3 linked regions of the Arabidopsis thaliana genome follow. The protein of the gene in region 1 interacts with the protein of each later gene in a pairwise test. Each region holds a gene or a part of one and is shown on either strand. Other genes may lie near its edges. The genes, in order: AT4G28330, RSH2 and AT1G03660.

What was found.
Region 2: the proteins of AT4G28330 (region 1) and RSH2 interact in a protein complementation assay, tested with the Arabidopsis thaliana proteins (one large-scale study listed by BioGRID).
Region 3: the proteins of AT4G28330 (region 1) and AT1G03660 interact in a protein complementation assay, tested with the Arabidopsis thaliana proteins (one large-scale study listed by BioGRID).

Annotation. Positions count from the first base shown.
Region 1 is NC_003075.7:14,018,978-14,027,982, reverse strand, and holds AT4G28330 (pyrroline-5-carboxylate reductase), read left to right. Parts: upstream 1-4,677; 5' UTR 4,678-5,054; coding exon 5,055-5,531; 3' UTR 5,532-5,703; downstream 5,704-9,005. Other genes in the region: AT4G28350 (Concanavalin A-like lectin protein kinase family protein), read right to left, coding at 1-1,406; AT4G28340 (pyrroline-5-carboxylate reductase), read left to right, coding at 2,874-3,353; MAN5 (Glycosyl hydrolase superfamily protein), read left to right, coding at 8,011-8,370, 8,462-8,659, 8,762-8,884, 8,975-9,005.
Region 2 is NC_003070.9:4,412,392-4,423,288, forward strand, and holds RSH2 (root hair specific 2), read left to right. Parts: upstream 1-7,322; 5' UTR 7,323-7,457; coding exon 7,458-7,823; intron 7,824-8,133; coding exon 8,134-8,675; intron 8,676-8,775; coding exon 8,776-8,862; intron 8,863-9,120; coding exon 9,121-9,177; intron 9,178-9,266; coding exon 9,267-9,505; intron 9,506-9,603; coding exon 9,604-9,722; intron 9,723-9,820; coding exon 9,821-9,907; intron 9,908-9,999; coding exon 10,000-10,071; 3' UTR 10,072-10,293; downstream 10,294-10,897. Other genes in the region: NRT2.5 (nitrate transporter2.5), read left to right, coding at 4,014-4,700, 5,051-5,526, 5,601-5,946; AT1G12960 (Ribosomal protein L18e/L15 superfamily protein), read right to left, coding at 10,316-10,444, 10,523-10,599, 10,656-10,764. UniProt on the Arabidopsis thaliana protein: Positively mediates root hair elongation.
Region 3 is NC_003070.9:907,076-917,464, reverse strand, and holds AT1G03660 (Ankyrin-repeat containing protein), read left to right. Parts: upstream 1-3,656; 5' UTR 3,657-3,811; intron 3,812-3,869; exon of another isoform or gene 3,870-3,933; 5' UTR 3,934-4,114; intron 4,115-4,228; 5' UTR 4,229-4,299; intron 4,300-5,199; exon of another isoform or gene 5,200-5,382; intron 5,383-5,543; 5' UTR 5,544-5,705; coding exon 5,706-6,029; 3' UTR 6,030-6,155; downstream 6,156-10,389. Other genes in the region: THM1 (thioredoxin M-type 1), read left to right, coding at 162-475; AT1G03670 (ankyrin repeat family protein), read left to right, coding at 1,243-1,927, 2,009-2,556, 2,626-3,243; AT1G03650 (Acyl-CoA N-acyltransferases (NAT) superfamily protein), read left to right, coding at 6,362-6,605, 6,984-7,216; POR C (protochlorophyllide oxidoreductase C), read right to left, coding at 8,220-8,375, 8,455-8,810, 8,895-9,432, 9,518-9,616, 9,710-9,766.

The sequences.
Region 1 (9,005 bases):
GTCTCCCACCCTTCGTGTAGATACAACATCCCTGAGGCTAGGTCTCTTATCACTCTCATTCTTTCCTCCCAATTCAACATCTCGTTACAATCAAATATCCGCTTATCGACACTTCCATTCTCCATATACTCGTAAATCAATATCAGACTCTCTCCTCCTTTCTTAGACCAACCTTTTAGTCCAACTATATTCTTGTGTCTCAACCTCCCTAAGCTCGAGACCTCAGCTAAGAACTCACTCGTCGCGCCAACGCTCTCTCGAGGACTCATCATTATTCTCTTAACCGCAACTTCTTTACCTTCCAACACTCCCCTGTACACTTTAGAATTCCCTCCGTATCCGATCATGTTCTCATCGGAAAACCCTTTTGTTGCTTCCAAAACATCTTTGTATTGCACTCTGTGAGGCCAATACTCTGTTTCCCAATCTTCCACGTCTCCTTCTAGTCTCTGCCTTCGACGCCTTACAACGTAGAAACAGAGGAGCCCAATAACAGAGACTAACAACACAACACCACTAGAGACCCCAGCAATGAAGCCTTTAGACTTCAAAACAGAGTCACCTGACAATTTAAACGAAGGTAGATTCCTAGTGATCAAAGCATCACCAATGGAGAAATTGGAGTTACTAAAACTCCATGAGAGAATCCTATGGCTCTGCACTAGTTGTCCTGTGGAGGCAGTGAATCCAACGAACATATCATCAAGTAAGACTCCAGTGAGATTTAATGGAATGCTTATGAGTGGTCTTATGGGCTTTCTAGAGCTAGCTCTAGCCATCGTGACATTGATCGCTGACCCATTAAACTCGATCCACGCCTGATAATTCTCGCCACTGTTAAGCTTCAGCTCCGTGAATCTCTGGCCGTCTCTGCCTCCATAGAAACCTGCAGTTTCAGATGCAACGGAAGTGAGAGAATTGACGTCGACGCCGACGTGGTTGTCGTTGATGTCGTTGAACTCTTGGTTAGCGAAAACATCGAATTCAACGGCGAAGATTCGGCTATTGGGGTCACCGTTATTGGTGAAGTTGAAGAGGCCGAGATGCTGAGATGAGCTTGCGGCGGAGGTTTCGGAGAAAGGAAGGAAGACGAAGGCGAAGCCGTGGCCAGGAGAGAGGTGTTTAAAAGGAGCCATGGAGAAGATGAATGATGTGGCGAAAGGTAACGGCGAGGCAGAGGAGGAGGAGGCGTTGATTCTTGAAGGGTAGAGGCCACGTCCGATGGAGAAAGTGGTTTGGTTGGTGAGGGTGAGGATCGACGGTGGAGATTTAACAGTGGCGTTGCCGAGGAGAAGTGTGTTGGTTGTGGTGAAATTGGAGTTGTAGATGAATTCGATGCCTGTGGTTGATCGGAACAAGAGTAGGGATGCGAGGGAAAAGAGAAGAATGGAAACTTTAGAGAACATGATGACTGAGAGAGGTTTTTTCGTAGACGTGTGCCGTTGTGAAGTTTTATGGGAAGAAGAAGAAGAGCTTTGTCAAAAGAGATTTGATTGGTTTGTTCTCGATTCAACGAACCGATTGTTCAAATATATTGTCTGAAACTGGAAAGATCTGTTCCAGAGTCAAAATTATTAAGGAGATAATGTTGTTTAATGTATATATGCTAATTATATGTGTTAGAAATCTGTTTGAACAACAAATGTGGACGAAATAATATCCGCCGTGATAATTTGATCTCTCGTTTATTTATTTTCCTAAGCATTTGGAATTTTGTTTTTGTATATTTCTTGATCCAAGCCACTTGGAATTAATCGTGAAATTGTTGGACTTGGTATTTCGCTGTCCACATTTATAGGTGTGAATAATGATGAACTTATTCGTCAAAAAAGTCAGCTTTGAAATGTCAAATATTCATCTTCTTCTTGATTCTCCTCTTTAATTCTTTCAAACATATCGCACATAACTCAAATTATTCGTCACCTGTAAGCATCATAGTATTAATAGGACCTAGTATATATTAATCCTAAAATCATCATGTCAAATGCCTAACAGTAACTACTTTTTTGGTAGGTTCATTGTTCAATTCAAAAACATTGAAGTTGATATTCTCTTATTACTATGTGCAACAGTGCAAGTATTACTAATCAATCACTAATCACTTTGGTTTATGAAACGGTGCGTTTGGGAGATGTTGACAGTGTGCAACATTGCAAATATTGTTTTACTATTTACCATAACTTTACCAAACCAGACACCGAATGTTACCTCCCTTTTACACTAGGTTAGAACTCTCATTCTTTATGTCTCTCTCTCATTGTTACACTCTCTGTTTTTGTTATTGTTTAGAGAGAAACACAAGAAACGATTTTTTCTTTTTTTTCTTTTAGTTGTCTACATTGTACTAATGGATCACAAGGATAACTCTACAAGACACAATACACATACTTATAGTGGTATTTCACCACAAGATACACATTCACACACTTAACATTCTAGCTTTAAAACTACTCCCACTTAGACATGATTATTCCTAAGGACTAGACTAAAACCACAAGTAACGTTAAACTACTAAACCTTACACCACAACTCCTCTTAACAACTACTCTTTAGCTACTCTAGCTTAGCTTAATTATAAGCACACCATATGCACAAAATCTGGGCTCAACTCTAATAATAGCCCATTTACTAACCAAAACACACAATTACTAATTTACTATGTGGGCTTCACTCTAGCCCAATAGCCTCATCTTTGACTTTCTCATCTCTTCTGTTGACTCTTCTTCTTCGACAACTTCTTCTTCTCCTTTTGCTTTGCTTTTGGTTCTTCTCTTTTCTTCATCTTCTTCCCACTTGAAGCTTTTCTCTTTTTCAGGTTTAATCAAAGTTTCAATTCCAACACAGAATCATAAGAAAATCTGGTGTTCTCAAATATGGCGGATAAGGAAGAACAAGAGACGATGACCTCGTACAAGCTGTTTTTGAGAGTCATAAGCAAGAGGAGAACATGGGTCTGTCTGTTTCTTGTAGTCTACGCGGTCCTTTTGTCTTCTTCAAGAAATTCGTTGAATTCGATAGTGAATTGGTACGGAGAGAATCATCAGACATCATCTGGTTTGCCTGCTATTTACGCGTCGGTTCTTCTTGGTGCGGTGTTCGGAGTTCTATCTATGGCGGCAGCTCTGTTCATCGCTGTGCCAGCGATCGTTGTGATCTGGATATCGGTAGTGGTGACAATAGCGTTCCCCGTAAAGTCGAGGAAGAAAGTGGTGATTGAAGGAAGGAAAGTGACGAAAGAAATTGCTGGTTATGTGTTTAAGGTTCTTCTTAAAGAAGGAAACTTTGTGGCTCTTCTTTGTGCTGTTATTGCTTACTTTGTCTTCTTTAACTCTTATTACTCTTCATCTTCTTGATTCAGTTTTTGCATTTTGTCATTAACGAAAACATTCATAACTAATATATTGACATCTTATCTTATGGTATATGTTGTAAAATAGTACAACACCCCATGCAAGTTTTGGGTGTTGAGTTCGATTCCCTTCTTTGCATGTTTGCGTCTTCTTTTTTTTAAACTTAACATTGATACCAAAAAAAAAGTGTGTATATATTGAAATCTTTCTTCATTATTTGTCCTTTAGTTTAACAAGATTTGATTTCTTGAATCTGAAAATATCGATCTTCTTTGTTGGATTGATGTGTTCTCTGATGATGTCAAAACGAATGCTTCCACGTCACAATACCGACACGTGAAGTTATTGACATTTCTTTTGTTTATTTCTTTGAGAGAGAACACAGATTCTTCTTTTGGTCGTCTCTCTGTTTGTCGGTCATTCTCTGTCTCTTCCGTGGAAGAGCTTCTGAAACCTCAACTATAATATGGGTTTGAAGGCCCATTTGGGCTTTACTGATTACCATCAATGGCTCATTTTCTGTTTTAGTGAAAACGTTAAATACAGTATCTAACTTATAACTTTCTATCAGCTGAATACTTGATATAAATATATTTAAACTATGTGAGATGCCAAATACTAGAGTACGATGATGATAGCCTAGTAATTGTGAAACAGATATATTGTGAATGTGACGACGAAGAAGAAGAAAAATTGTGTAAGGAGTAAGTGCATGTGATTAGGTATGGTCCAAGCTGAAGTTGGGTAAGTAAAAAAGCTTCATAGGTGATGAGTTGCACCAATTCTTCAGAATACAACATTAATAACAAGTGTAAGAAGGTACTCAATCTAAGTCAATGCATAGTTTTCAAAGTAATAATGATGCATATTTGACAAAAAGATACTCCAATGCTCTTGATCCACAATGAGTAATTGAGTATAATTCTCAAACATCTTTAAGTATTGTTACTTTGAATTGGTTTGCTTTGTCTTCAGATATTATTGAATGACATTGGTTGGTAGTTCAAAAGAATAATTGGTCTGCTTGAATGTTTCCCCTTTAGATATACTATATAATAATAAAATTATAATGGTCCAAAATTAGCAGTTATAGCTTATAGGCAGCTTTTATCTCTCTTTTTTCTTTCCTTAACACTAGTAAATTGGATCGCAAGATCTTAGATTGCTAATAACCAACTTTACACTTTGCATTATACAAAATTAACTATTTCCAAAATACCCAAAAAAACTTGATACATTGTTCCTTACATAATAAATTGACTTTTTGGGTGTTAACTTTTAAGAAAAACAGTGTAAGTATTACACAAATTAATCACTAATCACTTTGGTTTATGAAACGGTTAGTTTGGGAGGTGAGCCAAAAGTGAAACTAGAAAAAATGGAAACAGAGCTCTCCAACTGTCAGTTTGCAGGAAAAGGCAAAGACTTTAACTGGACCGCTAATAAAAGAGGCACGTGACAAACACAGCCTAATCAGCAAGAGCGTGTACTTCACGTTACATCAGATTCGACTAGGCTTAAGTATAAACTAAAAAGAACGTACGATCACTTTCCTTTTCTCACAATTCTTCACCGCAAACACTCACCCCAAAAAAGGAATCAGAAGAAGAAAGAAGCTTGTACAAAAGAAGGCTCTTTTACTATATACCATAACTTCACCAAACCAGACACAGAATCATAAGATCAGATCTGGTGTTCTCAAATATGGCGGATAAGGAAGAACCAGAGACGATGACCTCGTACAAGTTGTTTTTGAGAGTTATAAGCAAGAGAAGAACATGGGCCTGTCTGTTTCTTGTAGTCTACGCGATCCTATTGTCTTCTTCATGGAATTCGTTGAATTCAATAGTTAATTGGTACGGAGAGAATCATCAGACATCATCTGGTTTGCCTGCGATTTACGCGTCGGTGCTTCTTGGTGCGGTGTTCGGAGTTTTATCTATGGCGGCGGCGCTGTTCATAGCCGTGCCTGCGATCGTGGTGATCTGGATATCAGTGGTGGTGACGATGGCGTTCGCCGGAAAATCTAGGAAGAGAGTGGTGATTGAAGGAAGGAAAGTGACGAAAGAGATCGCTGGTTTTGTGTTTAGGGTTCTTCTTAAAGAAGGAAACTTTGTGGCTCTTCTTTGTGCTCTTCTTGCTTACTTCGTCTTCTTTAACTCTTACTCTTCATCTTCTTGATTCGTTTTTTTGAATTCTTGTCATTAACGAAAACATTCACAGCTAGTATATTGAAATCTTTCCTCATTATTATTTGTACTTTAGTTTAACAAGATTTGATTTCTTGAATCTGAAAATATCGATCTTCTTTGTTGGATTGATGTGTTTTCTGATGATGTCAGAGAGAATGCTTCCACGTCACAATACCGACACGTGAAGTAATTTACATTACTTTTGTTTATTTATTTGAGAGAACACAGATTCTTCTTTTGGTCTCTTTGTTTGTCGGTCATTCTCTGTCTCTGTCCATGGAAGAGCTTCTGAAACCTGAACTATAATATGGGTTAGAAGGCCCATTGGGGCTTACGGGTTACCATTAATGGCCCATTTTATCGTATATAGTGGAGAACTGTTTTAGTGACAACGTATTAAATACAGTATCTACTAGGCCAGACGATAAATTGTGTTTGAAGGAGGAAGTGCATGTGATTAGGTATGGTCCAAGCTGAAGTTGGTTAGTAAAAAGCTTAAAAGATGATAAGTTGCACCAATTTTTCATAATGTAGCAATAATAACAAGTGTAAGAAGATGCTCAATCCAAGTCAATGCATAGTTCATACGATAATTCTTTTTTTGATAAAAGTTCATACGATAATTCAAAGATATAATTATGAATATTTGACAAAATATGTACATACATTCAATGCTCTGGATCCTTCATGAGTAAATCGATCCTCAATGCTCTTGAATCTTTATCCACAATGAGTAATTCTCAAAAATCTGTTAGTATTGTTACTTTGATTTGGTTTGCTTTGTCTTCAAATATTATCGAATGCCATTGGTTGGTGGTAGTAAATCATGACATGGCCTTCAAAAGAATAATTGGTCTGTTTGAATGTTTCTCCTTTAGATATACTAATACTATATAATAATTAAATGATTATGGTCCAAAATTAGCAGTAAGGCTGCTTTTATCTCTCTTTTTTTTTCCTTTACACTAATTTGATTGCAAAACTAGATGGCTAATACATAACTTTACACTTTGCATTACAAAAAATAGCTAGCAAAATATCCAAAAAAATTTAATACTGTACATTGTTCCTTAGTATTATTAAAATGACTCTTTGGGTGTTAACTGTTAATAAAAGCAGTCACCGACAGCATTCAAAGTATTTTACTTCTGTCTTCTATTTATTTATTATTGTATTTACCACACACACGCATCAAGTTTTCTAATGTCGACAGAGAAAATAGATAGTACTGTTACCCTATATTCTAAGAACTTAACAAAACATTAGAAAAATACAAAAGCGGAGACGACTGTGATGAACAGGTTCACATAATTTAGCATTGTAATTTATACAATTTTGACTAAACAACAAGGATAAAAAGAATCTTACCACAAATGTAATTGTCAAGCCTATCTATGCTCTTTTATCATCATAAACAACGTGGAGAACACCTCAAAAGTGATTTTCAAGAGAACAAAGAAATAAATATGCTACTGAATATGTTGAATTTATGCAGAAGCTAAATATTTTCTATGTAAATGTAATTATTTGATTTGTTTTGTCTTCTCAGAATTAACCTTTGTATGTTCTAAATGAGTTGGGCTCACAATTCACATCACATGATTGAACAATGAACATTTTTTCTCAAATATCTGAAGTTGATGACACTCCAACGCATGTGGCCCTGTTTATTTTTTTTCCTAAGAGATTCAAATGTATTTTTTTTCCTGTGATACTCATCAAAATTAAATTCCTTCTTTTAAAGTTTCCAACAACATATTAGTCTCTTTTAGTTCTAAATCTAAATACCAGGTTAATTCCTGTGCTTTTTCCTCTTCTTTGGTGGGTCAAGTTCTGTTCTTTCCCCTTCAACCATTTTTTTATTTATAAATATCCAATTTTTATGAAGATATTTTATAAGTAATTTCAACTTACGAAATAGAGTGTAAAATCATACCTTGTGTAATTTTTTTTTTTTTAAAACATCACATTATGCCTTGTCCCTTTTGCAAGGTAAAATACAAAAGGGCTATTTCAAGCTATTTTCTTCTTTCACAAAAGAAAATTAGAATTAATAGAAAAATATTATTTTTTTGTAAAAAAATTAATAGAAAAATATAGTAATTTGGGTCCTTTAAGTTTCAGATACAGTGAAACTAAATAACTAATAAACAACTAATATAAATACAAAGATACATAGATCTGTGTCTGTGATTATTCAATTTCTTCTGCTTGTTCGTATCTCCCTTGTTTGCTTAAAGCGTTATTGAGCGAGCTATTTTTTCAAATCTTTGCTAATTTTCTACAAACGATTGATTTTTCCGTCTGGGTTTTATAAAAGGTTTGGGTTTCAGAGAAATTCACGGAACAAGGCACAGACTTTTTCTTCTGGGTGGGCACCGACTAAAAAAGGAGCTCTTTCTCCAATTCTGGGTTTGAAATTTCTGTGTGTGTGTGTGTGAAGCAGTGAAGCAGGAGGTGGCAGAAGCATGGTTCCCACAAGGAACAGGCCAATGCTACGAATTCTAGGTTTTTTTATATGTGCAGCTTTCATCTATCTATCATTTCGAGATTTGTGGTTGAATCACAAAGGGAAAGCAAAGTTAGGGTTTGTGAAAAGGAACGGAACTCAGTTTGTGGTGGATGATAAGCCTCTTTATGTAAATGGGTGGAACTCGTATTGGTTCATGGACCATGCGGTTGATGAACATAGCAGAAACCTTGTCGGTGAAATGCTTGAAGCTGGAGCTAAAATGGGTCTCACTGTTTGTAGAACTTGGGCTTTCAATGACGGTGGCTACAATGCTCTTCAGATCTCTCCTGGCCGATTCGATGAGCGAGTCTTTCAGGTTTTGATGATTCTTCCTCTTTTTTATAATTTCAGTTATGTGGTGATCTCTCTCTGTCCTTGTTTAATGGGATTTGTATAATGTTGGTTAGGCTTTGGATCATGTAATTGCAGAAGCGAGAAAGCATGATGTTAGATTGTTGCTTAGCTTAGTGAACAACTTGCAAGCTTATGGAGGGAAGACTCAGTATGTGAAATGGGCATGGCAAGAAGGTGTTGGTCTTAGTTCTTCCAATGATTCCTTCTTCTTTGATCCATCTATCCGCAATTACTTCAAGAATTATCTCAAGGTAATGGTCTCTTGCTGATTATGATTGAACATTTTAATCATTGAGTGATAGTGAGAGGAAGTTTAATGAGTAAAGATTGAATGATTATTTCCTAATTCGCAGGTTCTGCTCACCAGGAAGAACTCTGTAACGGGAATAGAGTACAGAAACGATCCTACGATTTTCGCTTGGGAGTTGATAAACGAGCCTCGATGCACGACTGATGTCTCTGGCAAAACTCTCCAAGTGAGTATTCCATTTCACTTGCCACTTGGAATCGTTCAGATTGTTTCTTATTCAGCAAATATATTTATGTATTTCTTTGCTGGATCACAGGATTGGATAGACGAAATGACGGGATTCATTA
Region 2 (10,897 bases), on another chromosome or scaffold:
TTTTGAAAGAAGTAAACTCTTTTCACCATCACCAAAGTACCGTCCGTACATTCAGGTTAGGAGTTTTTTTTAATAAAGAATCCATGATTGTATAAGAATAATGAAATAGTAATAAACATAAACAAAAAATCACTCTGATTTCAACAATAGTTAATCACTGTAAAATATCCGATATTCAGTTTTATCATCATATATGCATTTTGAGGACTAGTATGCGATTCTGCTTTGTGTTTTCCGTAACAAATAAATTCAATAAGTAGATACTTCAGCTTATATAAAGATTACCAAATATCGAAAGCTTTTGAAGAACATTCTTGTCAATACCCTAAAAACAAAGGTAAGATCAATAATAACATGTCTTTAAAATTTATTGTCTATATTCTCAACTGTTTTTGAGGGGAAAAATAGAGTTCATCGTAATCTTGATGAGGTTTCACTGATGTCATATTTGGTATGCAAGAGTAAATTGTTTTTTTTTTTTTTTCAAATGTACAAATGTCAAAAGAAAGAGAGAATCTATCTCCCAAGTTAATTAAGAAGTGTACTTTCATAGGATTCCAACGAGGTCCAGGGGAGAAGGAGATGCGAAAAGTCTTCGCTCACAAGATTCCACACATTAACAAAAGTCCGCATTCTAGGGACCTACAGAATATTCCTCAATTTTAATCAACACTTGAATTGTTGCTTAGTCCAAATAAACGGCTTAACTATTTAAATATTCTGGTGGTTTGTGTTTAATGAACGGTGGTTATAAATCTTATCAACAAGTTTTTGAACTTAAGCAAATAAAACCACTAATATAGAAATATATATATATATATATATATATATATATATGTGTGTTAAGAACTATATAGGAAAATATTATACGTTTTTTTCAGGGACTATACAACACACTTATCAGATTTCCATTTCACTCATTTGATCTATAACTTTGACATTAACATCTCACATTCTATTATAAAGTATTAACACTGTAATCTTCTTTTTTTTGCTGATTTATTTTAGGAGGTGGTCATATATCTCAACCTTTAGAAAATGTACTTTATATGTCAAATATAAAAATGAGTGTGTATCTATCAAAACGAATACAATTATATTATAATAGAAATAGTTACATAAATCATGGGTTTTAATAATATAACCGAAAGTATATAAATCATCATTATGATTAAATTTTAGTAGGTCTGCCATTATAAAATCGAAATTTATCTTAAATTTAGAACTCTTTCATTATAATTTTTAAAACTTCACACAGTTAATTGAATGTAAAAAAAGAAAATCTAAGACTAAATCACATCTAAAAGTTTTCATTTTTCAAGGAACATTTAACATAAAACGACTATTAATTGATATCATAAATTTTGTCTTTTCTATTTTGAAAATGTTACTTTATGCAATAGATAAACTTAATGTGTAAGCCATCGAAATCGATGAAAAAAAAATTCAAAAACAGGATTTTTTTGTTTTGAAAATCTTCCAAATCTCTATAAACATTATAAATAGCAAAAAAAAAAAGAGAAATATATATATATATATATATATATATATATATATATATGATTCAAAAGATTTTCAAAACAGAAAATATATCTTTTTCGAGTTTATCTCTTTCATCGAGTTCGATGACTATCAACTTAAACATTAAGTTTTTATCTAGTGCATATAGTGATATTTACATAAGAGAAAAACAAATTTTGTGGTATTAATAAATAGTCGGTTTATGTTAAATGTTCCTTAAAAAATAAGTTTTTAAATATAATTTCATCTTAGATTGTCTTTTTTACATTCAATTAAATGTGTGAGTTTTCAAAGATTACAGAAAAATAATCATAAAATCCAAGATGCGTTTTGAATTTTATAACCATGAAATACATATAAACCTATGAAAATTTAATCATAATGATACTCATACACTTTCAGTTATATCTTCAAAAATCATGATTAGTGTGTATAATTGTATTCATTTTGATGGATTCACAATTATTTGTATGTTTGACATACATAATATAAAATATATAAATTCCAAAAGGTTGATATCACCGTTTCCAAAAAATAAACAAGCAAAAAGACAGATTTACGTGATAATACTTCATAATAGGATGCGAGATGTTAGTTTCAAAGTTATAGATCAAATCAGTGAAATGAGATTTTGGTAAGTGTGTTATATAGTTCTTAAAAATCTGGAATCCCGTATCATCTTTTCTTATATAGTTCTTACATCTTAACATATATATTTGTTATTTCTATATTGGTGGTTTTATATTTGCTTGAGTTCATAAACTTCTTGATAAGATTCATAAACCGTCTTTGAAAACAAACCATCAAAATGGTCCCTCTTCTTGTTTCTTTGAAAAGATCATTTCATACAAGCGATATAGACAAAGCATTTAAGAAACAACAAGTTGAGAAGTTTTGTAACACGTACGTTGTTGTAACAAAAAAAAAAAAAAAAAAGAGTAAAGACTTTGCCAAAGTTTTCGAAGACTTTACCTTTGCCATGGTTAAGGAGCCCAAAACGAAGCAAGCAACTGATCCCCGAGTCTCAAGTATTGACTTCGAAAACAAATATTAATATATATAATACACATATATATATATATATATATATATATGTAAAGCATATTAATTGATATGTAAATAACTATTATAAGATTTTAAGAGTAAATAAATAGTATGCCAAAACAATAATTTGAATACTTATACTACTATTTTGAGTTTTTGATTTTCAATTAAACATTCAATGACAAAAACAAAAAGGGAACTAATTGAATTATTGCATCTTATGCATATACTATATTTCATAGATCCAACATTAAAATAAACTAACTGTTATTTTAGACCATTGTTTTCTTTAAAATAATTGTTGCTTTTTGCCCACAGAAATTAATAATGTGTTGTTTTAGGATTTTAGTGTAAATTCTGATAAATAATGTCTAAACTTTCTCTATATAAATTAATGAAAATATGAAATAAATTTTTTCTTCTTAATTCGCTTGAAAATAAAAAAAAATGACATGAATATGGAAAACATCATTGTGAATTTTTTTGTTAGTTAGTCAGTTAAAGTAAAGATTATGGAAGTTTTGTTTTGGTAAACTTACAAAAACAAATATTAATTGTAACAAAAATTGATTTCAAACTCTCTCTCTTTCTCATTTATATAACTTTATTTTTCACAAATCACAATGCACAACTCAAAAAAATTAGAATGTTTAAAGTAGATAATGCAAACAAAAAACTCTCAAATCGATTTGATATTAATTAAATGAATCTCTTGATCTTCAAATTGAGTTACAATCTAACCTTTTCTATTTAGATAAAATGTGAAAATTTATTTTAGAACTTATACTGAACACAGAGACGTAACGAAGAGAAACAGAAAACTAAAAAATATGTTGTAAATACGACAAAAGACTATAAAAGTTAATGACATTCACGAAATTTACACGTTCTAATGGTCGATGACACAAGGAAACTTTCAATGTTGCCACAAGTGAATTGAGATCTCAAGTCAGCCTCCAATACTTCTGAAAGAGCGGTGCTAACCCTCTTAATACAAAATTTATATATCTAAACAAAACACCGTACTAAACCAAACAATCTTAGATTCAATCGCGGTGCTTACAATCTAACTTAGTTATAACAAAATTTATATATCTAAACGAAAACTAAACACCACATTAAACTCAACCATCTTAGATTCAATCAAAACCAAGATTTAATATATTTTATTTTTCATCTAGAAAGAAAAACCAGAAAACCTTTATGTAATGATTCAAGTTTTTTTTTATACCATCACACTAAAAATAAAAAGATAGCATTCAAAATCCAAAAATAAATAAATATTAAAATGATTACATCAACGCTTCACAAGAACATAAATCCATGAAAATGTCACAGCTTTAACACTCTCCTTCTCTATAAATACTCATAACCTCAAACCTGAGATTCCTCATTCCTTAAACCCCTAAACCTCCAAAATTCTCTGAACCTTCACAAAGATCACAAAAATGGAGGTCGAAGGCAAAGGAGGAGAAGCTGGAACCACCACCACAACCGCACCTCGGAGGTTCGCACTTCCGGTGGACGCGGAGAACAAAGCAACAACTTTCCGACTATTCTCAGTCGCTAAACCTCACATGAGAGCTTTCCATCTCTCATGGTTTCAATTCTTTTGCTGCTTCGTCTCCACTTTCGCAGCTCCGCCTCTCCTCCCTGTTATCCGTGAAAATCTTAACCTCACCGCCACCGACATCGGAAACGCCGGAATAGCCTCTGTCTCCGGCGCTGTTTTCGCTCGTATCGTCATGGGCACGGCATGTGATCTTTTCGGTCCACGTCTAGCCTCCGCCGCTTTGACGCTCTCCACCGCTCCCGCCGTCTATTTCACCGCCGGGATAAAGTCTCCGATCGGGTTTATCATGGTGAGATTCTTCGCCGGATTCTCTCTCGCCACTTTCGTCTCGACTCAGTTCTGGATGAGCTCCATGTTCTCTGGACCCGTCGTGGGTTCGGCTAACGGAATCGCCGCCGGGTGGGGTAACCTCGGAGGAGGCGCGACGCAGCTGATCATGCCCATCGTGTTCTCGTTGATTCGTAATATGGGAGCCACCAAGTTCACCGCGTGGAGGATCGCTTTTTTCATCCCCGGTCTCTTTCAGACTCTCTCTGCTTTCGCCGTTCTCTTGTTCGGTCAGGTAACAAACCAATCACACTCACCGGTTCAGTTATTTTGGTTTTTTCAACTAATCCGGTTTTGAGAATTTATCACCAAGTTATTTTTTGTTTTGGTTAAATTTACTTTCTTTGTATAGTCAGTTTATCCTGTTCTATATAAATGATTAAACCGATTCGTTTAGGTGCAAACCCGGTTTATTGATACCGGTTTGGGTCGTCTAGTAGAGTCTTTAGTCGGTTAATCATGGTCGAGTTTCAGTGGATATGGACAATAACTGTTTAATCATCTAAGTTGTGTCTATTACAAGGAATAGTAAAAGGATACATTTGTTTTGTCTTATGTTTGCTATATGTTTTTGGAAATGAGTAGGATCTTCCTGATGGAGATTATTGGGCGATGCATAAATCTGGAGAGAGGGAGAAAGATGATGTGGGGAAAGTGATATCTAATGGAATCAAAAACTATAGGGGATGGATAACAGCATTAGCATATGGCTATTGTTTTGGAGTAGAGCTTACCATTGACAACATCATCGCAGAATATTTCTTCGATAGATTCCATTTAAAGCTCCAGACAGCAGGGATTATAGCAGCGAGTTTTGGACTAGCCAATTTTTTCGCTAGACCTGGAGGAGGAATTTTCTCTGATTTTATGTCGAGACGGTTTGGGATGAGAGGAAGGTTGTGGGCTTGGTGGATTGTGCAAACATCAGGAGGTGTATTATGCGCATGTCTTGGCCAGATTTCTTCCTTGACAGTGTCTATAATTGTTATGCTTGTCTTCTCTGTATTCGTCCAAGCCGCTTGTGGACTTACCTTTGGCGTTGTTCCCTTTATTTCTAGAAGGTAACATACATTTTGGTATTGAGTTGCTTGATTGGTTATTCAACATTTTTGCTTACAAAAGTTTGTTTATGCAGATCTCTTGGGGTGGTATCGGGAATGACTGGTGCGGGAGGCAATGTAGGCGCGGTCTTAACACAGTTGATATTCTTCAAAGGATCGACATACACGAGAGAGACGGGTATAACTCTAATGGGGGTAATGTCAATCGCATGTTCATTACCAATATGCTTGATTTACTTTCCGCAATGGGGAGGTATGTTTTGTGGACCCTCTTCCAAAAAAGTAACTGAAGAAGACTATTATCTCGCCGAATGGAACGATGAAGAGAAAGAAAAGAACTTACATATCGGAAGCCAAAAATTTGCGGAAACCAGCATTAGCGAAAGAGGTCGAGCCACAACGACTCATCCCCAAACTTGATAAATTCATGGTGTTTTTTTTGTTTATATGTATCGACTGTTGACTATGTTTTTGTCTTCTTCTCTTTTGTTTTTCTTAAGAGTTTTCAAGAACTCAATTTCTTGATTTTATTTATAATTGTGTGATAAGTTGTGTATGTTATGTAAAACCTACTACTGGTTACTGCTTTCTTTGTAATGGAAGGCTTTTGTAAATGTTTGTTCATCATGGAATGAACAAACGTATTTTCATTTAGTATACATATTTTGTTTTTTAGTTATCTTTTGTTGATCGTGATAATAATGATTTGACCACAAGAATACAAACCAGTAGATTCATAATTTATTATACACTGTTAGTCTGTTAACCTTGTAAACCAAAAACGTTTCGATATTCATATGCTCTTTTACATCAAACACTCGGTTATTTGTTTTATCCAAATAACTATGACAATTACATAGTTACTAATTGGTACTTTATTTCATTATCAGATATTAACTGAGTTGAAAACAAAATTAGATAGCAGTTGAATTAAACTTTCTATTAGTATTACATCATTAAGTGTTTTTAGGTGACCAAAAAAAACAACAATTACATTCTTCCCACTTTACAAATACTTTTAAAACAAAACAGCTTGTCTTTTATGTCAAAGTTCATTGAAAGATGAACTTACTTTGGTATATTACAGATACCATGAAACCTTAAAATCTTCAATAGATCACATCTTTTTAGCCCAACATCTTTATTTTATTTACTTTTGGGCATATTTAGCCCAACATCTTTGGCAGGGAAGAAAAACTTTGTAATCTTCTCGCTATGCCATTGGGCTAGAAAGGCCATTATGGGCCTATTCTTATTTCATTATGTCTCTAGTGGGCCTACTACTGTCTTTACTATCTTGGCCAATTAGAATAAAATCTTTATTGTATGTTTCCCAATCTACCACATTGTCACAAACACTCACAATAATTGCTCCGCACGTAGCAAGAAGTAGGCCATATGGAGTCCACGACACAAAGATTTGAATGGTCAAAGATATATAACAAAACAAAAGAAATAAAAGAGTTGTCGCATGTTCTTATATAAACGATTTATATATTATAACTGCATTTTACATTATTGTATTGTTTAGCCGAGTCGTGCGAATGGAATATCAAATCGTCATCCTTTTGATTTTGAATGACAATTATACAGTAATGGAGACACACACACAAACATATAAACTATTAAATTCTACTGTGAAACGCTAAGTCAATAAGATTAACTGGTGTAAAGCTGTCTGATTAACAAAAACTTAAGTGTGAAAGCTGTCTTTTACCACTCTTCCAAACACTCGTAAGTCGTACCAAATCTAGTTCTTTATTTATTTTTTAATCGTTCTCTATATTATATAAAAGAGAAAATAAAACTATTAACTTCTATATAATTCATAAACCATTGATTCCTAAAGATTACAAAATCATTGATCTCCTTCTTCTTCTTTAACTTTAAGCACTCTCTTTCTCTCTTTCTCTTTCTCTTGTCGTCGGAGAATGGAGAAAGATAATGACTTCAAGGATCCGTTTCTGGCGTCAACTGAGGAGGAGGAGCTCGACCCGGCGACCCAAAAAGCATTGATGGAGTATCTTGGAGTCGGAAGCAGAGCATCTTCTCTTGTCTCCTTCTCCTCTACCGCCGTCGATATCCCTCCAATCTCCGGTGTCGGAGACTTTGTCAGAGAGTTTAGAATCGAGTCTAGAAAGCTATGGAAACTAGCTGGCCCTGCCATTTTTACAACGATGAGCCAATACTCTCTCGGAGCCGTCACTCAAGTTTTCGCCGGACATATTAGCACTCTTGCTCTTGCCGCCGTCTCCATTGAGAACTCCGTCATCGCCGGCTTTTCATTTGGTATCATGGTACGTTTTACATTGATATGTCTCCCCTGATCACATTTTTCCCTTTCTGTTATGGAACGTATACATTTAACAAATCTTTTGCATCTCTTTATAGACTAAAATAAATGATTTATTATACTTTCAAATCATTTTTCACACCAAATTCAAAGTATTAAGAATCTACAATCGATCAACTTTAATCTTTTTATATAACAACCTATATATATCATTTTGTTGTATATTTGCCATACTATAAAACTAGTTTAATATGATTTTGGTAGTTTGTATGCAAATTTCTTACGGCTATTATTTGTATGTATGGTGCCTTTAGCTTGGAATGGGAAGTGCGTTGGAAACGCTATGCGGACAAGCGTTTGGAGCAGGGAAAGTATCAATGCTTGGCGTTTACTTACAACGCTCGTGGGTTATTCTAAGCGTAACCGCTCTCTTCCTTTCTCTAATCTATATCTTCGCGGCTCCAATCCTGACCTTTATAGGCCAAACCGCTGCAATCTCGGCCATGGCAGGGATTTTCTCCATTTACATGATCCCACAAATCTTTGCCTACGCTATCAACTTCCCAACGGCGAAGTTTTTGCAATCACAAAGCAAGATCATGGTCATGGCTGGAATATCCGGTGTGGTTCTTGTGATCCATAGTTTCTTCACGTGGCTAGTCATGTCTAGGTTACACTGGGGACTTCCTGGTTTAGCTTTAGTGCTTAACACGTCGTGGTGGGTCATCGTTGTTGCACAACTTGTGTATATCTTTAATTGTACGTGTGGAGAGGCTTGGTCTGGATTTACGTGGGAGGCTTTTCACAATTTGTGGGGGTTTGTTAAATTGTCTTTGGCTTCTGCTGCCATGCTCTGGTGAGTGCAAACCTTTTTTCTCTTCCAATTATTTTGGTCCGATTTGATCCAACCCCATTAATGAATTCATATTTTAAATACAATTTATTTACTTTTGTAGTTTGGAGATTTGGTATTTTATGGCACTCGTATTATTTGCTGGATATTTGAAGAATGCTGAAGTCTCCGTAGCTGCACTCTCCATATGGTAAAATTTGTTATATCTCTTAAACTAATTAACATCTTTACAACATTTAAGGTTTACATGATTTGTTATTTGATTCATTTATTTATTATCAGAGAGATTCTCTGAATAAAGACTAGACCCAACGTGCGTAGTAGTCTCTTGTTTTGTTTAATAATCAATGTCCTTAATGTATTAAGAATTCAAAATTTTGAATACTTCCACTGCAAAGAAATTTCTAATGATTTGTTTTCCTTAATTAATGGTGTGTGGAATATGAAGCATGAACATTTTGGGATGGGCAGCTATGGTTGCGTTTGGGACAAACGCAGCAGTAAGGTAAATTCTAGCGTGTGAAATAAAACTAACTCTTTACAAATTCTACACATCTAACAAGTGCCAAGCTAATAATACATTTTTGTTGGCAGTGTGAGAGTGTCAAATGAGCTAGGAGCTAGCCACCCAAGAACGGCCAAGTTTTCTCTAGTTGTGGCTGTGATATTGTCGACAGCAATTGGGATGTTTATAGCAGCCGGCCTACTCTTCTTCCGCAATGAGTACCCGGTTTTGTTTGTGGAAGATGAAGAAGTTAGAAATGTGGTTAGAGAACTCACGCCAATGCTTGCCTTTTGCATTGTCATCAACAATGTTCAACCTGTATTGTCTGGTAATATTTGTTTAGTGGACTCCAATAGTCCAATATAATATGGTTGTACATAACGTAAACCGAATGTATATGAGATTATGATAAATTTGATAACGCAGGAGTGGCTGTGGGAGCGGGATGGCAAGCAGTTGTAGCGTATGTGAACATAGCATGCTACTACTTGTTCGGAGTCCCATTTGGTCTATTATTGGGATTTAAGCTTGAATATGGAGTAATGGTAATGAAATTCACATCCTTTTATCTAAAAGTAAAACCTTTATCAAGGAAAGACGAAAGACCGGGGTTTTTGATGTTTTGGAAACCTATTTTGATCAGGGAATTTGGTGGGGGATGGTGACGGGAACTTTTGTTCAATCGATAGTCCTGACTTGGATGATCTGCAAAACCAATTGGGAGAAAGAGGTAAGAAACCAAAACACTTTAAGACCGAATAGTCACGACCTCGCTCACCGAGTTTATTGTTCTAATCTTTTGAATGATATATATATTTGTAGGCTTCAATGGCAGAGGAAAGGATAAAAGAATGGGGAGGAGTACCTGCAGAGAAAGAGACTCTTTTGAACTAGAAAGAGTTATTACTTCAAGACATATTGATGAGTCTTTCAGATCACATTTTTGTATACGAACCTTAAAAGCAAAATTTGGTTCTCTCTTTCTAAAAAATCTGTAACTTGTTATGTCATCAAACGCTGACAAGATATGTTATAACGCTGATAATTATCTATAAACAATTTGACTTTTGAGAATTGGGGTCTTAATGAAAAGTTACCAAATCATTTAGAATAATACTACTCGCTTGTCAGAAGTTGCTTAGTATAGTAGAAACGTGAGGACAACAGCACTACCAGCTTCCTTAATCTTCTTTTCATCTGTATTCGACACAAGCTTAGCCTTGACAACAACAGGTTTATTCTCCGGCAAGAAACCTTTCCCTAAAACCTTAAAATATCCAAATTGAGTAACATCAATCATAGACACATAGTGTTTCGTTGCTTAGTCCATAACGTCCTGAGGAACCATCGACCAAAGCTTGTCAAGATTGACGATCTGGCAGTAAAACTTGTTCCTGAGCTTGTGGAAATACCTCATACCAACTTTAACAAAATATCCAGGATGATACTTGTCGAAGAGGATACGGTGTGATGCATACCACCGGCGTTACCACGACTTCCGGGAAGCTTACGGTGCTTTCCAAAACGACCATGTCCAACAGATACGTGTTCTCTAAGATTTCTTGTCTTCTTCCTGCTAGTCGTCATTTCTCACCGATTGAAATTAGGGTTTCACAAGAAAAAATGGGTATTAAGGTTTATATGTTTTTACGCGGCAAGTAATAATGGGCTTATCATTGGGCCTTAAGAGCGAGAAGAGCCAGAAGAATCCGGTTCCGAT
Region 3 (10,389 bases), on another chromosome or scaffold:
CTTTGTCATGTTATTTATGCACATATGTATTAGGATCTCTAAGTATCTATCTATAGAAACTCAAGATGCTTGTTTGTTGGATTTGTTATCCCTTCATTCATAATTCTACACTCATGGTGAGTCATTAATCTTGGTTTTTTTTTGCTATATGATCCATGCAGTTCCAGTGGTCAACGATTCAACATGGGACTCTCTAGTTCTCAAGGCTGATGAGCCTGTGTTTGTCGACTTTTGGGCACCATGGTGTGGACCCTGCAAAATGATTGATCCCATTGTCAACGAACTCGCGCAAAAGTACGCCGGCCAGTTCAAGTTCTACAAACTTAACACTGATGAGTCTCCTGCAACCCCTGGCCAGTATGGTGTTAGAAGCATCCCAACTATCATGATCTTTGTCAATGGTGAGAAGAAGGATACAATCATCGGTGCTGTCTCTAAAGACACTTTAGCAACCAGCATCAACAAATTCTTGTAATGAACTACTAGTCACTGTTCTCTTTTCTCTGTATCTCTCGACTCTCTACCTTTTACCTATCTACTCATCACTGTTCATCTAGACTTGTATGATAATATGATGTCTCAGGTTTTCAGAATTTGAAGTCTACGAAAACATTTTATTATTGTTACCAATTTACACGGTTAGAACTTTGAAGAGGCCTGGTCGTAGGGGCTAAAATTCTAATCTCTAACTAACAACATTGAATACAATTGCAAAACTGAGATAAGGTCAGAGCATTTACACGCACAAACTTACAAAACTTTGTGATGACAAAAAGGTCTGATCTTTAGAAGAACCTTAAGGATACTGTTCTAATGTCGGATTACCGAAAACATTGAATAACATTGCGTAACTGAGACAAGGTCAAAGCATTACACACAAACTTACAAAACCTTGTGATGATAAAAGTTTGATCTTTTGAACCTTACGGATGTTGTTTAGAACTAGAATAAAAGCGACGCTAATCCTCTTCACGTCATCAAGAGAATATATCTCTCACATTTATATCTCTACATAACCTAAGAAGTAATTCAATCTACCCAGTACTGCGCATAGATTCTCTCTCTGTTCGAATCTGTCTCTCTGCTTCAAGTAATTCTCACTTTTTCTTATGCTGCATTAATTTAAAGTTATTTAGGTGGATGTTTATGTCGTCTAATATTCCTGAAGTTTTAGGATTATCAAATCTTACTTATTCTTTTTGATCAGGAGATTTTAAAGTGAAAGTAGCACTGAACAAGAGTATGAAGTGTGACAGTAAATCTGAAACAGTAAGCTCCTCGTCCACATCTGGCTCCCTTTCAGATCCAGATCAGTGGACTATTTTCAAAGACAAGGATGAATCTGAGATTATGAATCCAGCGATTTTGTGTGCTGTAAGAGCAGGTGACAAAGTCTCCCTCCTGAAAAGGATAAACGATGACGTAAAGGTCACTCAACGACTCGTAGACAATCAAGGGAATTCAATACTTCATATTGCTGCTGCTTTGGGTCATGTCCATATAGTGGAGTTTATAATCTCTACATTCCCAAATCTTCTACAAAATGTGAATCTGATGGGTGAGACAACTCTTCATGTTGCAGCCAGAGCAGGCAGTCTCAATATTGTTGAGATTCTTGTTCGATTCATTACAGAGTCTTCTTCCTATGATGCGTTTATTGCCGCTAAAAGCAAGAACGGAGATACTGCACTACATGCCGCGTTGAAAGGAAAACATGTAGAGGTGGCTTTCTGCCTAGTAAGTGTGAAGCATGATGTATCATTTGATAAGAACAATGATGAAGCATCTCCATTATACATGGCTGTAGAAGCTGGATATCACGAGCTCGTGCTTAAAATGCTTGAATCTTCATCTTCCCCATCTATACTAGCTTCGATGTTCAGTGGAAAATCTGTTATACATGCAGCAATGAAGGCCAATAGAAGAGGTTTGTTTCTATGTTTGTTCAACCTTGTACGCCAAGTGTTCTTTATATGTTTTAATTATTTCTTGGTCATTGCTTTGACAGATATCCTAGGTATTGTTCTTAGACAAGATCCAGGACTTATTGAATTACGCAACGAAGAAGGAAGGACATGTCTTTCCTATGGAGCATCAATGGGATGTTATGAGGGAATTCGCTATATACTAGCAGAGTTTGACAAAGCAGCTTCAAGCCTTTGTTATGTCGCTGATGATGATGGCTTCACTCCTATTCATATGGCGGCAAAGGAAGGACATGTCAGAATCATTAAGGAGTTTCTTAAACACTGTCCTGACTCAAGAGAGCTACTTAACAATCAATGTCAGAATATCTTTCACGTTGCTGCCATAGCTGGTAAGTCGAAAGTTGTCAAGTATCTTTTAAAACTTGATGAAGGGAAAAGAATGATGAATGAACAAGATATCAATGGGAATACACCGTTACACCTAGCCACTAAACACAGATACCCGATAGTTGTGAATATGCTTACATGGAACGATGGGATTAACCTCAGAGCACTCAACAATGAAGGCTTTACAGCTTTAGATATTGCTGAGACGATGAAGGACAATAACGCTTACGTACTTTACAAGGTATGTCAAATTTGAAGATTCATGTAGTTAATGATAAAGTCTCATGTAACTTTTTTTATTGGTTTACAGAGATTGATTTGGATGGCTTTGGTATCTGCTGGAGCACCACATGGCCCAAACCTGATTCCCTTGACTGTGTCACAGAGTAGCAAACAAAGTCCAGAAAGATACAAGGATAGTGTCAATACTCTTATGGTGACTGCAACACTCGTAGCAACCGTGACCTTCGCTGCAGGTTTGACATTACCCGGTGGTTACATGAGTTCTGCTCCACATTTAGGCATGGCTGCATTGGTCAATAAGTTGAATTTTAAGGTATTTCTGTTGTTGAACAACATTGCAATGTGCACTTCTGTGGTAACTGTAATGGCTCTAATATGGGCACAACTGGGTGATGCACTTCTGACAAAGAAAGCTTTTCGACTAGCTTTACCACTTCTGTTAACAGCTGTTGTATCAATGATGATGGCATCTGTGGCTGGACTTACTCTTGTGGTGAGCGATCTCCCATGGCTTTCCCATCTTGTATTAGCCATAGATTCAGCCTTCTTGGTATTCCTGATGCTACTTATCATTCCTTACGCTTTCTCGTCTACAAGACATGGCTTTCTCAGACATATCTTCTACTTTCCTTATTTCTTGATGCTTTTGGTTGTTAGCGAAGGCAGCAACAACATGGATGGTTAAAGAATGCTCTGTTCTGTTCTATTCTGCTCTGTTTTGTATCATGGATGATGGATGGTTAGTGTTCTGTTTGTTTTTAACAGTTTTTGTATCTCACGAGTTTGTAATTGTGGTTTTACTAAGTAACCACAAAAATTGGTACAGAGACAAATATGACCGTTGGCTGTTGCAAAGAGCTCACATGCATGATCCCGACTTTGCTCCTCTCGCTTTCAAGGCCAAATTCTCTGTTTCAAAAATAAGAAACCTCAAATAATTTGTCTTGATAAATTGTTGTTACGCAGTAAGATACAAATATGACCGTTGTGAGGAAATTTCCTTTTCTTTTTTTGCAGCCTAATTAAAATTTCCTTTTTCTTAACCTAGTCGAAAACAAAAAGGAAACAATAGAAATTTCCTTTTTTCTATTGAACAACGTTTGCTTATAAATACTCTTCTTCCTTGTAAAATAACTAATTCTTCATTCATCTTCTTCTTCTTCTTCTTCTGCAAAACGAAAACAAAAGAAACCATCTTTCATTTCTATTTTTCTTCGGAGGATCTATGGATCGATTGGATTTTGACTCAGTCGGTACGTGTTATCTGAAACTATTTTGGTGTGAATCTCTTTTGCTTTTAATTGTGAGTTTCGTTGTTCTGTTTAATCTTTAATAGGGTTTGTTTTGGATTATGTTTATCTTTGATGGTTTGAAGTTTAAGAAGATTTAGAACAATAAACGTCGTCGGCGTTTGATTCCAGTCATCGCCGGAGAGAACAAGGCCCAATCGTCGTTTACAATCACCGTTCTTCCTTGTCCAATTCCATTAGGGCTAGGGATGATGCAGTAACACCAATCTCATAAAGTCATAGTCCTCTCTTTCTTGACCTGTAACGGTAAGTAATTTCCAAAATCCTCTATGCTTTTCTCTTTTTTTTTTTTTGTCTACTGTCTCTAAATTTAGCCCTAAACCAAATATTCACTCCTTTCTTCGTTTTATTCAATTTCAGCCTATTGAAAGTTATCGCCTACTAGATTTGTGGACAAACACTGTTCATCAACAATTCAACACTTATTCCATGTAAGTTATTATTATTATTATTATTATTATTTTTTTTTTTTTAACACGATTCCATGTAAGTTATTTCTTCTATTATTCGTTCATTTTTTAAAAATAATAAATTACAAAATGTTTTTGTTTTCAACAAAAAAATAAAAGTATTTTCAACAGTAGTTTTTAATTTTATTTAACAAACTGTTTTCGTTTACACATATTTAAATTTTTAACAATTGTTTCTCTTCTATTAAAAAATATTTTTAAACTTATATTTTTATATAACTATTAAAACTATAAAGGTTTTTTGGATAAGTGTTAAATTTTTGAATTTTGTGTAAACTAATTGGACATAACATCCAAACCCCTAAGAGGTGTCCTAGGTTCAATATGGTTTACACTTAATTTAAATTTTTAATACTTATCATCATTTTATTATAAAAAGTTTTTAAAATTATATTTTTATATAACTATTAAAATTATAAGGGTTTTTTGGATAAATATTAAATTTTTAAATGTTATGTAAACTAATTAGACACAACATCTAAAACCCTAAGAGGTGTCCTAAATTCAATATGGTTTACACATAATTAAAAATTTTAACATTTGTTTTTAATTTATTAAAAAATGTTTTTAAAATTATATTTTTATATTACTATTGAAACTATAAGTTTTTTTTTGGATAAATGTTAAATTTTTAAATATTGTGTTAAACTAATTAGACACAACATCCAAACCCCTTAGAAGTGTCCTAGGTTCAATATAGTTTACACATAATTTAGATTTTTAACACTTATTTTTATTTTATTTTAAAATGTTTTTAAAATTATATTTTTAAAACTATAAGGTTGTTTTGGATAAAGACAAAAACCCAACCTTTGAATCATCGACTTTTTGCGTTGGAGTCAACGACCTTAATTCAATTATTTAATTGCTTGCTCGGCAAGCTAAACATCGTCGTTGATTGGTACGCACATCCAGACTTCTCCTTTCTTATTTTGATTAAGTCAATGACTTGTTAGGATTAAATATTTTGGTTGCTACAAGTTCAAAACTTCAACATTATTTTCTTCGTCTTCCTTCATCACCTAGATTTCAAAGCGTCTTAAGGTAATCTTTGAGTGTGTATTTTCAAGTTTAAGTTCTAACTATTCTTTTTGGGTTTCAATTGGAAAAAGAGAGTAAGTTTATGATAAAATTTCTGAATCTGCTTTTTAAAACATGTTTTTGTGAAGTCCTATCATCATGTCTCGTTTAATTCAATCTTTCAGAGATATAATAAGCTTGGATATGGCTTTGGGATCTGCTAGTTCACCAAATGGTACACAACCAATTCTCTTGAGTGCTTCACAGCGTCCCAGAATATCTAAACTACAAGAACGTATCTTATTGCTTATGGTGGTACAACAATTGTAGCAGTTGTGACATTTGTTATGGGTTTCACATTTACAAAGATCTACACCAGTTCTGCTCCAGATTTAGGCATCACAGGTTTGGTCAAGAAAGCAGTGTTCATAGTTTTTCTGGTTTGCAATAGCATTCCAGTGCTCTTGTCTGTCATAGCTACAATGAATCTTATTTGGCCACAACATCTGGGTGATATTCCTCTGATACAGCAAGCTATGAAACGAGCCATGGTACTTATCATGTTTGCTTTTTGGTCTATGGTTGTTGCATTTGCATTTGGAGTTTGTCTTGTATTGATGCTCCTTCCATGGCATTCCTTCCATGTCTTTAGCTCCAAAGCACATAAGTGATGTGTATGTAGGTTTGTGAACATTTTCCATTACACATTCAAGCTCTTGATTGTTTCTATCTGCAATCTTTCATAAGTTCGTTCACAGTGATTGATCAAATATGTTGTCTTTTAATTTGGTGTGGTCTCTGATACAGTTCCTCTGTTTCTGGGGACTAAATTGTCACAAAAGTTAAATTTGTGGGTCAAATCACAATTTCAAATAGTTTCTAAAAGTCGTCCCCGCCGTCGCTACGCACCTTCATCAAAATCAAATCACAATTTCCTTGGCTCACTCGCTCTCACCGGCTGCGAAACCAACGAGAGATTCCACAAAATCGAATCTTTTGTACAATGGACAAAGGAGTTGTGGTAGAGCTGATTAGAGGGTCGACCAGTTGGGCCAAAGTTGTGGAAGATATCGTGAAGCTGGAGAAGAAAACGTTCCCTAAACACGAATCTCTCGCTCAAACTTTCGATGCAGAGCTGCGTAAGAAAAACGCCGGTTTGCTATACGTGGATGCTGAAGGAGACACAGTAGGCTATGCCATGTATTCTTGGCCATCTTCGCTTTCCGCTTCAATCACCAAGCTCGCAGGTATAGACAAACGTCCGCCAACTGTTCGATGAAATTACTCAGTGATAAAATTCAGAAAATATAATTTCGTTAGAGAAGAAGTGGAATTATTCTGCCAAACTTCTACTGAAAAATCTTTCAACCATTTGATAAATTAACCTGTAGATTATTATATAGTCAAGGACCAATGATTCTGGTAAATTCGAGAGCTTTCAATAGAAATTCTGACTAGACAAAGCCCTTGTTCTAGCTTTGGTTTTGCATGCTTAAAGATTAATGGAGATAGCTCATAAGTCAAGAACACGTATGGAATTTTTCTTATTAGGCAAGTTAAGAGCAAAAACATTAGGAAGAATGTATCCCAAGTTTACTTTCTTCTGTTGTTTTGGAATCATGTAGTGAAGGAGAATTGCAGAAGACAAGGTCATGGAGAAGCATTGTTGAGAGCGGCTATCGACAAGTGCAGAAGCAGAAAGGTGCAACGGGTTTCACTTCATGTCGACCCCACGAGAACTTCTGCGGTGAATCTGTACAAAAAGCTTGGGTTCCAAGTAGACTGTCTAGTGAAAAGCTACTACTCGGCTGATAGAGATGCTTACAGAATGTACCTAGATTTTGATGACTCTATTTAGCCCAAAAGGATTGAATCATTGGATTTGGGGTTATATATGTATTCCCATATCTTGGCTTGGGCTTGATATGCCTTGTACACATTCATTGATTACTTCTCTACATCAACATATTACATATGTCTAGCGAGTTTTTGATATTTTACGATGCAAGATGAAATCATCTTGGGACCATCAACTTATCAACTTCTTCACAATATAGAATGAGATTTTTAATCGTTTTCATGTTAGGAAGTGGTGTAAGATTTCATAATAGAAGATTTTTAATCTTATCATCGATGGTCGACCAAAATGAGAAATGGCATTTGATAGTGTTTTGAAACGTTTTTGTAAGTATTATAATGTAATATTTTATCAAATAATCCCAAGCGGGGATAGCTCAGTTGGGAGAGCGTCAGACTGAAGATCTGAAGGTCGCGTGTTCGATCCACGCTCACCGCATTTTTCTAAAACCTTTTAATCGATTTAAACGACATCGTGTTAAAAAATTAGGTCGTAAGAAAGGCCCATTATGAAAAGATCCACGACATAATCCACCAAACCGCATTCTTTTGTACTTTAAATTAATTTTAAACGACATCTGTTAAAGAATGAGGCAAAACGACGACGTGTTAGAGAAAAGGCACACTAGAAAAGATCCACGACATGATATCCCACCAATTCTCGCCGGTGTTAACCGTTTTGTAATTCCGATCATCGGGTAATTCTCGAAGAGAGAAGAAAGATGTTAGATTCTCTAAGACCGAAGACTCTTATCGGTTAAATTTTACTCGGGATTACGATGCAGTTCGTTGGTCGTGTCTCAACAACAGTAACGATTCATGTCCCCATCTCAACTATGGAGCAATCTACGAATCATCAGTCTAATTGTAAGTGTCTTCAGATTCGAATTCGATGATTAACTCTATTGAAATGCATTCGAATGATTAGTCTGATTGATCATACTTATTGTACATGTCACAAAACATAGTAATCTATATGAATTTGCATATCAAAAATCTTGAGTTCATGCCAAACCAACAAGCTTCTCGCTAACCTCCCACAGTTTCTTTGCCTTCTCCGCATCACTTGCTTCTTTAGAAAGCTGATTCTCAAACGAAGACGAGTTATTGTTCCAACTCCAATACACTCCTGACTTCCCAAGACTAGGGTCACTCACAACCTAAAACAAAACCACATCCTCAGTATCAATCAATAATCTGTTATACATATATTAGAAAGGATTTGCAATGCAAACTGACCTGTGCTAGTCTTTTGCCAGCTTCCTCTTCAGATACGTAACCTTTGGTGATATACTTTTGAAAAGGCGGAAAAAGAAGCCGAAACAGCGGTATGTGTTCTCTGAACAACCCTGTTGTAGCGATGCAACCAGGGTAAAGAGAAGCAAACGTGACTCCTGTTTCCTCGTGGTAACGTCTGTGAAGCTCCTGCATTGTCAGCATATTGCATACTTTGCTGTCTTTGTAAGCCTTTGCTCCATCAAACTCTCCTCCATCTATCATTGAACTGTTTTGCCCATTCAATCCTGACGCTAAGCCTCTTAGGTCTCCAAGGTTTGCCTTTGGCGGTACATTCCCAGCCAAAGTATTTGTGTTTCCTGCAAGAACATAGAAAAGAACATTCATTGTTTGATACTAGGAACTATCTTGGTGGAAATGGACAAGTTGTCTGTGTTATTTACCTGTTATAGATCCTACGATGATCATACGTTTTGATGGATAATCAGATTTTTTCAGGTCATCAAGAAGCAATCTTGAGAGAAGAAAGTGACCGAGATGGTTGGTTCCAACGCTTATCTCAAAGCCTTCAGCTGTAAAAGAAGGCTCTTTAGCAGTTGGTTGGTAAACCGCGGCATTGCAGACAAGAACATCGAGTGGTTGTTCTGTTCTCCGGAAATTTTCAACGAATTGCTTCACGCTTTCAAGCGAAGCAAGATCAAGATGCATCACTGTGTAATCTTCCTTGGACATTCCAACAGATCTCGCTGCCTTCTCGGCCTTGAGAAAGTTCCTGCAAGCCATGATCACATGCCATTTCCCTGTGTCTGCTAAAGCTTTGGCCGTAGCTAAACCTAAACCAGACGAAGCTCCAGTGATCACTGCAGTGCCTTTTCTCTCAGTCTTCTTTTGCTCCGGCGATGCTTCGTTTGCCGGCGGCGTGGCTGTAACTGTCTGTGCACGAATACCGGTGGAAAATCGCGGTTTCTGTCTTCTCTGTTCCTGCAACGAAACAGAGTATAAACCTCAGGACGTTTTCGATATCTTTTTTTGAGAATTTCACATCGTATAGGGTGATTGACTTTACCTTGATGGTCAACAGGGTGGATATCTTTTCAGCTCTAAGATGGTTTGAAAATGAAGAACCAGTAAAAGTCGTCTCCTTTAGAGAAGCATTGAATTTGCCCTGCAAAATCACCATTGCATTGAGGTAAATTCTTCATTTTATCGAAAACAAATCATAACAAGATGGAAATCATTACTAATGGTGAAAACATACCTCTTTTTGGATTGAAATGGTAGAAGGAAGAAGAGAATAGGCAGCTTGGAGAGCCATTGTTGTACGGAACTGAAGGTGCTAGAGTGTCACAGTGTCTTCGATTTTCCCCGAATTGAGGAGCGACAGAAGATAAGGTAGTTTTGGGTTAGTGACACGTGTCTTCCAGGCTACAGCTTTTTCCCTCAACCAATCAGATCACTAGTTTCAGATTCTTCATCTCTCGTTTATTGGGCCTTGAGATGGGCTTTAATATTGTTTTGTTAACTCTCAACTGATCTGATCACCGTTGATAGGTGAACTGTAATGAATCTGGACCGTCCAAATGTGTCAAGAACAATTTGGTGGAAGAGAGAAGAAGGCGGCAACTTAACGGTCAATGGAGAGGTGGGAGAAAGAAAACAAAAACGAAAAAAGAGAGAGAAAAAAAAACACTTTTGGATCACACAGCTCTCTTCATCTTCTACAATTTCTAAAAGTTGCAAAATTCCAATGAAAATTTCCATTTTTGCCTCTATTTTATTTTATTTTCTTCTTCTACTTCATCTCTTTTCTTTTCCTCCTCCGTCGTCACGGTTTCTAGACCATCTCCTCCTCCTCCTCCATTGTCTTGTTCATATGCCTATAACAGGTAACTTTTTCCCCCCTCATCTTTTTAATCAATCATAACGATTTTTGCTTGT